3 linked regions of the Drosophila melanogaster genome follow. The protein of the gene in region 2 interacts with the protein of the main gene of each other region in a pairwise test. Each region holds a gene or a part of one and is shown on either strand. Other genes may lie near its edges.

Region 1 (3,753 bases), on a different chromosome or scaffold from region 2:
CTGAAGCGCGTGCAGAGTGAGCGCGGCTGGATGAAGAAGCACGCTGAGGAAATGGACATGATCATTGATGGCTACAATGACGAATCGTAAGTTTTTTTTAACAAGATCTCATTAAAATGAAGTCTATGACTAACTCTTACTTTTGCAGTGGCAGTGACCAGGATGAGGATCCATTTGTGATTGAGCGACGTCGCAATCGGCTGCGCGTGGAGACAGTTAGAGCGCAGCTCAATGCTCTCCTGGCCCAACCCATCTTCCCCAGAGGCTTCAGCTTCAAGTATCCCAACAGCGAGGCGGCCCAATTAGCCACGAGTCATACTCAAAGTGCCGTGGAGACCATGAAGGCGGCCATAGAGGACCAGAAGCAGGCCAAAAAAGATCGCAACAAGCGAAAACGGAATGCCTAATCTAACTTAAAGCTGTTTTATTGAATAAGAGATACAAAGCTATAGCCTTGGATGTTTCCATCAATGCTTTGAAACAAAGTATCGCACACCTCCATCGGTCAATGAGCGAGCGTGCTTGGCCAATAGTGTGGAAACGGACAAGTTTGGGGTGGTAAAGCACCTAGTTATAAAACCGAAAATCAAAAAAACAATCTAGATATGTGTTCATCATTACTTACTCTATGTACGGTTCCATTTCCTCCATCGTCCATCTCTTTTTAGTCTTAAATAGCGCCCGCATGCGATCGCTTATATTGGTGGGCAGTAACTCCTCTGCCAGGGAGCGTATGCAAGGCTGCGCTCCCTCCTTGTCGCAAATGCCCAGACCTCGTAGGTACTTTAAGTCGCAGGACATGCCCTCGGGCAGTACCTCCTGCCAGGTGCGCATGAACTCCTCGTTGCGAAAGCGCAAACCCGGCTGAAGAATGTTCTGTGCCACAATGCGGGAGACCAAGGACTCCTGGTACTCAAACTTGCCCGGGCAACGTTCACTGGGAATGGTATAGATATCAAACAGCCCAGCCACAACATCCTCTGGAGCTATGCCCTTCAGTGCATTGATGGTCTCCTCCCGTTCCACTTCGTCCAAGGCCCAGGAGTTTTCGCTTATCAAACCCAGCATCATGTTAATAATGCGATACTCGTATTCGTACTCCATCACGCGCATTCGCCCGTCCAGTTCTATGGCTCGATATTGGTTCAATCCCTCCATGAACTGACCGCGGCTGCACTGCACCGTGTCCAGGAGCTGCGAAAAGGTAAAGAGTAGCTTCTGCTCCACGCAGAACTCGTTCTCCGGCCCCGAATATCGAGTCAGCTGCAGTAGTTCACCCAGCTTGCGAAAGCGCGGCTTTATCTCGCGGCACTCGAAGTACTCGTGGAACACCTTGAGCACCGGCCGCTGCTCCAGAGTTCGCGGCACTTCCAGTTCATCCTCCGTGCTGTCATTGAGGCTGCGCTCCAGGGAGGCGTTGGCGTTGCCAGTGCGCGGACTCTTCAGCGGCGAGGTGCTGGTGGCGGCGGCAAACTTGAGGTCCGGTACCAGCAAAAGGCTATTGGATATTTCCGCGCCCTTCACGTCGTACGTTCGCTCATCGGTGCACAGCACCAGCTTCTCGTTCTGGCCACCCTTGAAATATAGCGTCTGGCCGTCGCGGATTTGTCCAAGCATGTGCCCATCGAGCTCCAGAAGGCGCAGATTGTCCGAATCCACGTCCGCCGAGGGAAAGTACAGAGCCTGGGTGAGTTGGGTCAACTGGCGCTCGTCCAGTTTCGCATGCTTCACAATGGCCTTCACATCCTCCGGCGTGCGAACGTAGCTATGGCGGGTGGTTGGGTAACATTATAACTCCTACGCAGGCATACCAAAGGCACTCACAGCTGGGCAGCAGACTCATCAACCTCCATGGATTCCATGTTCGCTGCATGTAAACAAAACAAAAAATTAACCAAAACAATGAGCGGGAAAAAGTAGTGGGACCAAAGCACAGCAATGTTGCTTTCGTTGAGGGTATTCAATGGCCTTTCAATATGTAAGCTTAATGTGCTTGGAAAACATTACAGCATTAATCCGCACACCCTGCAAGGGCACACTCACCGCTCAGCTGATCAGTTATTTAACGGTCGTAGCCTCGGCAAGAACGTTTCTTTTTTGAGCGGAGATTTCGCGAGCACGCGTCTTGTTTTCCGCCGTTCGCCGTGCACTTGGACGCGCACTTTAGAAAGCGTTGACTGCGCCAAAGGTCATTGCTGGGCAAGAGAAGCGTCCAATCGCCGCTGGTGGTGACGCTTGTGGAAAAATCAATTCGGACCAGTGACGGACGTCGAACTTCCAGTTCTCTGACAAGCGGAATCCAGTCAACAACAACATGCCCGTGGGAACGTTTGACGCCTGGGATGCGGCCGTGCTGATCACCATCCTGGTCATATCGGCTCTGATTGGCATCTACTACCGGTATACAGGCGGCAAGCAAAAGACCACACAGGAGTATCTGATGGCGGACCAGAGCATGACCACTTTTCCGGTCTCCTTCAGCCTGATGGCAAGCTTCATGTCCGCCATCTCACTGATGGGCGTCTCCAACGAGTCCTACGAATTTGGTACCATCTTCTGTGTGATCAACATTGCCTACGTGCTGAGTACGCCCATTGCCGCGTACTTCTTCCTTCCTGTTTTCTACAGGATGCGGACGACCAGTGTGTACGAGTATCTGGAGCGGCGCTTTGGCCAGGCCACCCGGCTGTCCGCCTCCCTGGCCTTCACCGTGCAAATGGTGCTTTACATGGGCATTGCACTCTATGCACCAGCGCTCGCTTTAGAAGCTGTAACCGGCATTCATCGGTCAATGGCCATCGTGGTCATTGGACTGGTGTGCACCTTCTATTCGACACTTGGCGGCCTGAAGGCGGTGCTCATCACGGATGTGTTTCAGTCCTTCCTCATGTTTGCCGCCATCTACGCCGTGATTGCCGTGTCGGCCATTAAAGCCGGCGGATTCGCGGCCATCTGGGATGTGGCTGTGGAGCGAGGACGCGTGAACTTCATTGAGTTTTCATTGGATCCCACCGTGAGGCATACTTGGTGGTCTCTGATCATTGGCGGCATGGTCACTTACCTCTCCTTGTATGGCGTTAATCAAACGCAAGTACAGCGACTCCTGAGTGTCCGCAATTTGAAGAGCGCTCAGTCGGCGCTTTGGTGGAACCTGCCCATCCTAGGAATGCTTAGTTTTAGCACCATTTTCAGTGGACTGTCCATATTCTACTATTATCGAGATTGTGACCCTTTGCTAAAGGGACGCATCGACAAGCGGGATCAGATCATGCCCCTTTTCGCACTGGAGACTATGGGTGAGTTGGAAAGACATCCAATAAGAATTAGCATTATTTGATTTCTTTTTCCGGCAGGTCAATATCCTGGACTGTGTGGTCTGTTCGTGTCCGGAATATTCTCCGCCAGTCTTTCCACGATTTCGTCGGCAGTTACCTCGCTGTCGGCTGTAACACTGGAGGATTACCTGAAGCCCTTGTACAAGGCGATATTTAAACGGACGCTAATTGACTCCAAGTCCACGATGCCCACCAAGATTGTGGCGTGCATTTTTGGCCTGCTTTGCATCGGTCTAGCTTTTGTCGCTGGCTCCATGGGCGGAGTTCTTCAGGCATCGCTTACCATTTTCGGTGTGGTAGGCGGTCCGCTGCTGGCCATTTTCACACTGGGAGTCTGCACTACACGCAGCAACCAAAGAGGCGTGCTGCTTGGCTTCCTCGTTTCCCTGATAGTTTCCTTCTGGATGGGATTCGGCGG
Region 2 (3,753 bases):
ATATTCGCAAATCCACAGAAGAAATAATTATTTTGATTGTCAAAAACACGTGCAATGTTTGCCCGAAATGCTATCGAGGTCTATCGTGAAATCGATATGGCGAGATTCGATTCCTGTCGTCAATCGATATTTACAGGTCGAGTTTAAATTTCAATTTGCATTTTTTGGAATGTGGCAACGCTAAAGGAGCGGGTAAATTTAAACATTTACCCTCTGAACATTACACATTATAATTGACTTTTCTGCTAGCACTTTTCTGTTGGCTTTAGATTTATTTTTGGTACACAATCGCAGGTGGTTCGGAATCCCGTTTGCTCTCTTACGTTGGCTTTGGACTTAAAACTAGGTCTTGAGATGTCAGGTGGGAGCTACAGATGGATCAGTACGGGTCGGAATCTTCCTCGCTGTCGCTATCGCCATCCGCCCACACAATGGGCCACACGGCGTTGCGCGAGCAGCTGCCGCCTAAGGCCTTGCAGAACGTGTTAAAGGTGCTGGCCTGGGTAAAGCCGAGGATCTCGCGCTCCTCGTAGATGCGGTACGTGAAGGTGCTCTCGTAGGTGCCCACAAAGTAGCGGGCGTAGGCGCAGACCAGCTGGTCCACCACCGCCACGCCCCCATCCTTCAGCTCCCTTCGTTGGACATTCGACTCCGGCGCGAAGTGCACGAGGCGGAAGCGGTAGAAGAGCTCCTTTAGTTCCATCAGCTCGTATGGCGTGGCGTCAGTGGCCAGGAACACTGTGGTCATGTTAAACCCGCGCAGCAGCTGCTTGACCTGCTGGGCAGCCGCCTTCAGGGTGGGAGTGGTCGCATCCCGCGAGCGAACAAAGTCGCCCCGCCTTAGGTGGGCGCAGAGGTAATCGCCGCCCTTGGCGTTGCGCTTCGGCCGCTCCAGCTCCCACATGGCGGGCCGTTGGACACCGGCCGAAGCATCTGTGGTGTCCAGGGCCTGCCGTCGGAAGTCGGCGGCCACCTGTTCGAGCCGACGGGCGAAACGCATGGAACGCCGGGCCTGCCAAAAGTGCTCGTCGCCCCAGTGGTCGTGAAGCACCGTTTCGGCGCTGAGCAAAGCGTACGTGCGCATGTCGTCGACGTCCTCCGGTCCCGCCGTGTCCTCGTCGATCGCCTCGCGAAGCAACTTCTCCAGCAGTCCGGCGCTGCCCTGGAACCGAACGCAGTGGAAACGCCCCACGCGCAGCTCCGCCTGCTGCAGCAATGGTCCTCCCGACAGGGATCCCTCGCTGCACGGCTTGTCCGTGACGCGCTCGAACTTGTCCCGAAATATGCCCTGTTCTAGCATGACCTCGTAGTGCTGCAACCGGAAAGCGTGCCCTACATGGACCAGCGGTGCGCCAGGATTGCCGAATAAGCGCTGTTCGGCCAGGAATTCCTCGTAGTCCAGAACGGGCGCGTAGCGACGCAGACTGGCCAAGTCGAAGAAGTGGCTCCAGGGCAGTCCAGATTGCTGCAGGCCCTGCGAGTGCCAGTGGTAGAGGCGGGGCCACGGCGGCAGCACAAGGCGCACATGGCGAAAGCGCCTTCTCCTCTGCAGCCGGCGCACGAACACCGCCATGCGAATATAGACGTCTCGGCGCAGGTTGAAGCCCTCGGAGATGTTTACGTCGTAAAGGATATACACGGCGCCCCTCATCCCGAGCACCTCAGGCGGACAAGTCGCTGGCAGTGGCAGGATCTCCTGCAGGAACCCTTTGACGCAGGTGCCGCTGCTTCCCCGGGAATCGCCAATTTCCCGCTTTGCAGTCCCATTCCGGACGGCGGCATCCGAGCCGGTCAGCAGATGGAGGAGCAGGAGCAGCGCCGGGAACCCAAGCCTGGGCCAGCTCCCTCGCATTTTTGGTTTGGAATGGAGTGGCTGTGGCGGCGGTCAGTAAAAAACCCTAACGCATTTGGTATTTTACACGGGAATAAAACAAAGAAAAACATATGACTTTGATTTCTAACAACGGACAATCCACTCTTTCCAATATTTTAGCAGCTGTACAGATAAAACCTATAATTTTTTTTATAAAAAAAGGCCTATAGAAAACCCATGTACATTACGGGAGTGATACACCATAACTTTGCAAAAAAAAACCACACAGCCAAAAAACTTACAGTTTTGTGCAGCTTACGATCCCAACTAACGACCCATATCACTTTCCTGCTGATTTTGAAAAATTTATTTTTTTCCAAAATTTTGCAATTTCGATAAGGGATAACATCAAGAAATTTTGCGAAAAATGTAAAAAAATTTTCATTTCCAGCCTGGAACGCCATTCGATTGCAATTTTTATTGCGAGTGCAACGAGGTATGGCACTTAATGATGGGGCTGTTATTTACGTTGTGGTGAACAAAAAACTGGCAGAAAACCAGGATATCAGTAATAGTGTTCTTATCAAAAAATCCGCATTCTCATAAGGTTGTTGCCGAGCTCGAATGCAAATCGATGTCTATTTGCACTATTATTCCCAACGATTTCCATATAGCACCTGCTTGAATGGGTCTTTAAAAAAGCGTATGTAAAAAGCTGCGCGAAAGCTTCGCTCGCTAATCTCGAACAGCTGAGTGTGCAAAACATTTCGTATTGGCGTTCTGGCGTTTTGGGGCCGTCTGGATGCCTCACTCAGTCAGATACGAGATACGGAAGCCCAGCGAACGGAGGAGGGCGTGAGATGCGGACGCCGTGCGTGACCACAGTACAAACTAGATTACATTAAGTTAGACTAGCTAATCCCAAGCTGAACCCAGGCCCCTTTCCCGCCGTCTGGACCCCTCTACCCCGTCCGGAACGCTCTACGAAAGCAAGTAACTAACTAACACACCACTCACCGGGCAGCAACAACAGAAACGAAGATGGAGGGGCGACGGGCGGCACGATCTGCTCGGTCACGCTCTCGTTTACGAGCGACGTAAGGTGTTTGCGTAGTGACTGGCGCGGGAGAGCCAAACGTGCCGTTATTCTTCATTCATCAATGGCGAGCCTCCCCCTCGTGCACCCGAACCCACACGCCTGTCTCGTTACGTAAAGTCCTTGCAAAAAAAACTTCCACTCTCGTTGCGTGAGAGGAAATCCAGGAGCTGATTGAGGGTCACTGGGATGCTTCGTACAGAGTTCACTACTCGACCAAATTCGTAGAATGAATTTCGTAATTCGGGAATGTTTTTCCCCCCGCCATATATACATAAATACTCAGTCTCGTGCCTGTCAAGATCCCAATGTGCCCAATGTGCACCCCTCCCTTTTGTGAGCGGCATGCACATGGTGTTGGTGCCGCTCGCTCGGCTGAGGGTCAAGATCGCCGCAAAGAAATGCTCGCGAAGCCTAATATTTGTGCATCCCGCGACTGCCATGTTTGAATTTAGCATTCGCAAACTGCACTCATCCCACTCATCGTGCAGTTTCAGTGCGGCATTCGGCGCAGGCGAACAGCCCATAGCGATATCGAAACCCCATAGCCACAGGCCACATACCAGAGAGCACAGATCACAGCAAGTACCCTCCATATTAAGTACCATGGCCAGCTCCTGTCCCCGCGGCGCGCATTCAATGACCTTCGAATATTGCTAGGAAGGCCGACCTCCCCTTCGTCGTCGTTGCTGTCGTTGTTTTGGTTTAGGTTGAGCAATAGTCTAAGACCCGCCCGTTACCCTTCTCCATGTCTCCTTCCGGGCAGCATAAGTGATGGTGCCTGCGGCCGTCAAGCTGTTGCAGGCCTCGCTGGGCCAGTGGCGTCGAGGGAGCAAGCTGCATC
Region 3 (3,753 bases), 9.3 Mb from region 2:
GATTAGTTGCCACAAAAATATCCCAATCGACAGGCACACCGCTAACCGAAAAAGAAAATTAACTAGCCATTGGTGAAATCAAAGCATATTTGAATGACAAGTATTTGCTTTCCTTTTTTGGTCAGATTAGTATATGAATTGGAAATAAGTCCTACCAGAACATCCGCAAATTACTTCGTCAGCCGTCAGCTAAACTAGCTTAGTCGCCTGATAATAGCCGATTTTCAGAACAGAAAATCAATATATATAAGTTAATAAACGACAGCTTATTGTGACGGTAATCATATCATCGAAGCACCCAGCACTCCTCCCATTTATCCGCTATTGATTTTCTCCGTAACAACTGACGAGCGCTTAATAATGCATTTTTCATGTGGGTCCCAAGCACTTGTCGTTATCCCTTGACCTTGTGCCCACCAAGCGTTGGCCCATTGAGAATAGAGAAATTTTTGCCTGAAAACTTTCTACACCTGAGCAGGTGATCCATCCGAGCGGTAGTTGAGTTACCCCAGTGCCCACTCATATAATTGCGAGTACCTTGTGTTGGCGTCGCATACCGATTGCATCGCCCACACTTTAACTTCATTTTGCTGCGGATTTGTGGGAAAAAAGATAGATCATACATAGCTTCGAATACCAGGCCAAATGCGTTAAGTGTTTAACGTCTGTGGAATACAAGAAGAGGGCTATGAGTTGACCACATGGCCATGGAGCTCACATGTTTGCAGTTCCTACAACTTGTCTACCCCTATCTTATCCGTCGTAAGTCTAATGAGATCCTGACATATGTACACACAAAAGGGGCAAGTGCACAACACACTTGTTGTCGGGCATATTGTATACATATTTGTGTAATTGAGTACACATCGAGGCTCTAGGGTTTCTTAAGTCTCGAGATATCTCGATAAAGAATGGTGGCGGAAGGCAAACTCTAGATAAAACCGTTCAATTTATGACGATAAGAGTGCTATGAGGAATTCTAACTTTTCTCTACAACAATTATCCAACGTATATTTTAATATTTCCCTCTGAAACTTTATGTTTCGAAGGCTCTATCAGTTTCGAGGAAATACGATAACAGCCAAATTCGGAAACTTATGTCTGAATTTAGCATTCCACAAAATAATGTATGTACATTATGGTACTTTTTCAACATAATCGCATTCCTAAGTTCTATTTAAACCGACATTTATGCATATTTTAAATCTAAGAGTTTAGAAACATGTAATGTACATAATTTTGATATGTTTGGAAATTTGGCCCAGTTTTTGGTTTCAGTTTTTAAAAGACTTCTACTCAAGTGGATCGTATTCAATAGTTTCGAAATATCATATGTTGCAATATTAAGTATTAGATTTTCATTTGTTTTATAATGAATTATAAAAATATAGTAGTGATATATCTCAGCTAGTTGTATGTACTCACAAACTCCACAATTTTGATGATGCCCGGTATGGTGCGGAAATAGTCGATGTTGAGGCGAATGGCGCTCCAGAAGCCGCCACCGCTGCCAACGGTCGGGTTCGCTCCACCTGGCGGTCCGTTCGTCGTTGTTGTTGTTGTGCGCTCGATATTGACAACGGTCTCGACCATATTGTTGCTGTTTATAGTTTGGCTTGGCTTAGTTTCAGTTTCAGTTTCAGTTTCAGTTTGGCGGGCAAGTTTACTTTATTAGCTGGGCACAACAACTATTTTTAAACACTTGTCGCGATTTTTGTCACAATAAAATAAGATGAGAAAAATAACCACCGCTTTCTATATGTTCGCTGGTCGATCGGCAGCTACCCTATATATCTATATCTGATGTATATGAACGCGTGTGACGCCCTCGCGCGAGTTACCACCCCACCCCCTAAACCCCCACGCCTCTAATTCTCAAATATATATATAGAGATATATGCCGCGTGTGGTGGGTATATTTGGGTATGTGGTGAAATGTGTGTAGTTTAGTATCTGGTAGTTAACTGTAGCTATATATCCATGAGCTGCGCTGCGATTGCTTTGGCGTTACGTTGCTTTGTCCACGGCGGCCGCTGGTCGACTGAACTGAACTGCGAGCTGAACTTGCCGCCGCTGCAGGCTAACGGTTAACCGCACGCCGCTCCGCTCCACACTAGCGCACTCACGCTCGCTCTCCCACTCCCACTCGGACTTACACTCACATTCGCGCTCTCCCAGTTAGTTAGTTAGTCAGTTGGCTATTTAGTTGCGCGCGCCCTTTGACGACGCCCCTGCAACGCCCTAAATAGAACCACCCCCCACCCCCCTTAGTTGCCACTCCCCGCTGCTTGTGGGGCAAACTAGTTTGTTGCGCCTGCGCCGCTAACTGTTATAATCGGCACAGTGGGCCAGATTGACCGTATTGTGTGATTGTGTTCATTCCAAAATAAAAGTAAAACTATTAAATAAATACAGTTGTCTAGATTTCTCAATAAAACATTTACATTTTATTAAAACCATCCGTACAAAATATGCAATATATATTATTAAATCATGTAGACAACGCGGCGTATGAGTAATATTTTCTTTTTTTTTTAGTTTTCTTCAAGAACCCACAAATTCCCGTTTGGCTAGCACTGCATTTCGCCATCTCTTTCTGATTCGCTCGCTGGATCGGCGTCCCTCTCTCTCTTCCCAACGCCCACTGTGCGTCGCAACTGGTTTAACGTTCTGATTCGACTTTTATGGCTGCCGCTGCAGCACGGCCGTGGGTCGCCTCTGATCGGAATTTCAAAACAGTGGAGCGTGTTGTGGATGTTGGGGCAACAGTGGGTGGCATGTGTGGTGCACAGTGGTCACACACGGCACAATTCGTGGTTGAAATGTGTGAGGGACTTTAAAAATTTTATAAGAAACCGATTGGTTTGCAAGTGAAACAATAAGCGGTGTTTTCATTTTTTTGGTTAGCTTTTATTTGCGTGCAATACAAACTATGACAAAATTTGCCTAATAAATAGAGCCTAATTTTTGGGCCGCTCGATGAGCCTAAAGACTACGAGTTGCGGATCAAATGGATTGATTTGGACAAGGACATGGACCGGACATAAGGCTAGACAGTACAGATTTATACTATGCGATCGGATATCGTATACAATTTTGGTTCAGCTGCTCGGAAATCGCATTCGAGTTCGCGTTAAACATGTGTGTGTGTGTGTGGTGTGTGTGTGTGGTGTGTGTGTGGGTGGGTGTGTGTGTGCATAGAATTCAGTTATATTGCTTATATAAATAACTCTGCTGCCTTGCAAACATAAGGAATTATTTTTGGATCACAATAAAATTATAAAAACATATATCTATATATATATATATGTATATACATATAGTATATAACGAAGGTAATAACGCAAAACCAATATGCAATGCACAGGTTTTGGAACCACCAAGCATTGGGGCACTGGGAAGGACTAGATAACAAGAGCAGCACGGTCTGCAAAATATAACTAAGCGCGGAGACTAACAGCTAACAGACCACAGGAGTATTTCAAGTACAAAACATTATCGGCCGCAGCGGCGATCAGCTCAGAGCGTCTCCCTGGTGTCAAGCTCAACCAATGGCGGCACTGGCTCCAACTCCGCACTCTGGCTTCTGCTCCTACTTAGGCTGGGACTGGGGTTGCTCCTTGAACTTGGACTGGTGTGGTGGCTTGCGTCTGCACTGATATTACTTGGCTGATTTTGTTCATGGTTGTTATGCGGCGACGAGGTTGCCGGGGTCAGAGGAGCCGGAAGTGCTGGCGTGCCGGGCGGGGAGAG

The links.
Region 1: the proteins of O-fut2 (region 2) and CG10444 interact in a two-hybrid assay, tested with the Drosophila melanogaster proteins (one large-scale study listed by BioGRID).
Region 3: the proteins of O-fut2 (region 2) and CG15211 interact in a two-hybrid assay, tested with the Drosophila melanogaster proteins (one large-scale study listed by BioGRID).

Annotation. Positions count from the first base shown.
Region 1 is NT_033778.4:20,272,800-20,276,552, reverse strand, and holds the start of CG10444 (uncharacterized protein), read left to right. Parts: upstream 1-2,053; 5' UTR 2,054-2,314; coding exon 2,315-3,296; intron 3,297-3,353; coding exon 3,354-3,753. Other genes in the region: CG9143 (uncharacterized protein), read left to right, coding at 1-86, 149-407; CG11788 (uncharacterized protein), read right to left, coding at 468-567, 626-1,765, 1,825-1,862.
Region 2 is NC_004354.4:1,464,128-1,467,880, forward strand, and holds O-fut2 (O-fucosyltransferase 2), read right to left. Parts: upstream 1,870-3,753; 5' UTR 1,853-1,869; coding exon 380-1,852; 3' UTR 236-379; downstream 1-235. Other genes in the region: CG14777 (uncharacterized protein), read left to right, coding at 3,684-3,753. UniProt on the Drosophila melanogaster protein: Catalyzes the reaction that attaches fucose through an O-glycosidic linkage to a conserved serine or threonine residue in the consensus sequence C1-X-X-S/T-C2 of thrombospondin type I repeats (TSRs) where C1 and C2 are the first and second cysteines of the repeat, respectively.
Region 3 is NC_004354.4:10,770,839-10,774,591, reverse strand, and holds the start of CG15211 (uncharacterized protein), read right to left. Parts: upstream 2,052-3,753; 5' UTR 1,966-2,051; intron 1,825-1,965; exon of another isoform or gene 1,795-1,824; 5' UTR 1,594-1,794; coding exon 1,426-1,593; intron 1-1,425. Other genes in the region: BTBD9 (BTB (POZ) domain containing 9), read right to left, coding at 3,520-3,753.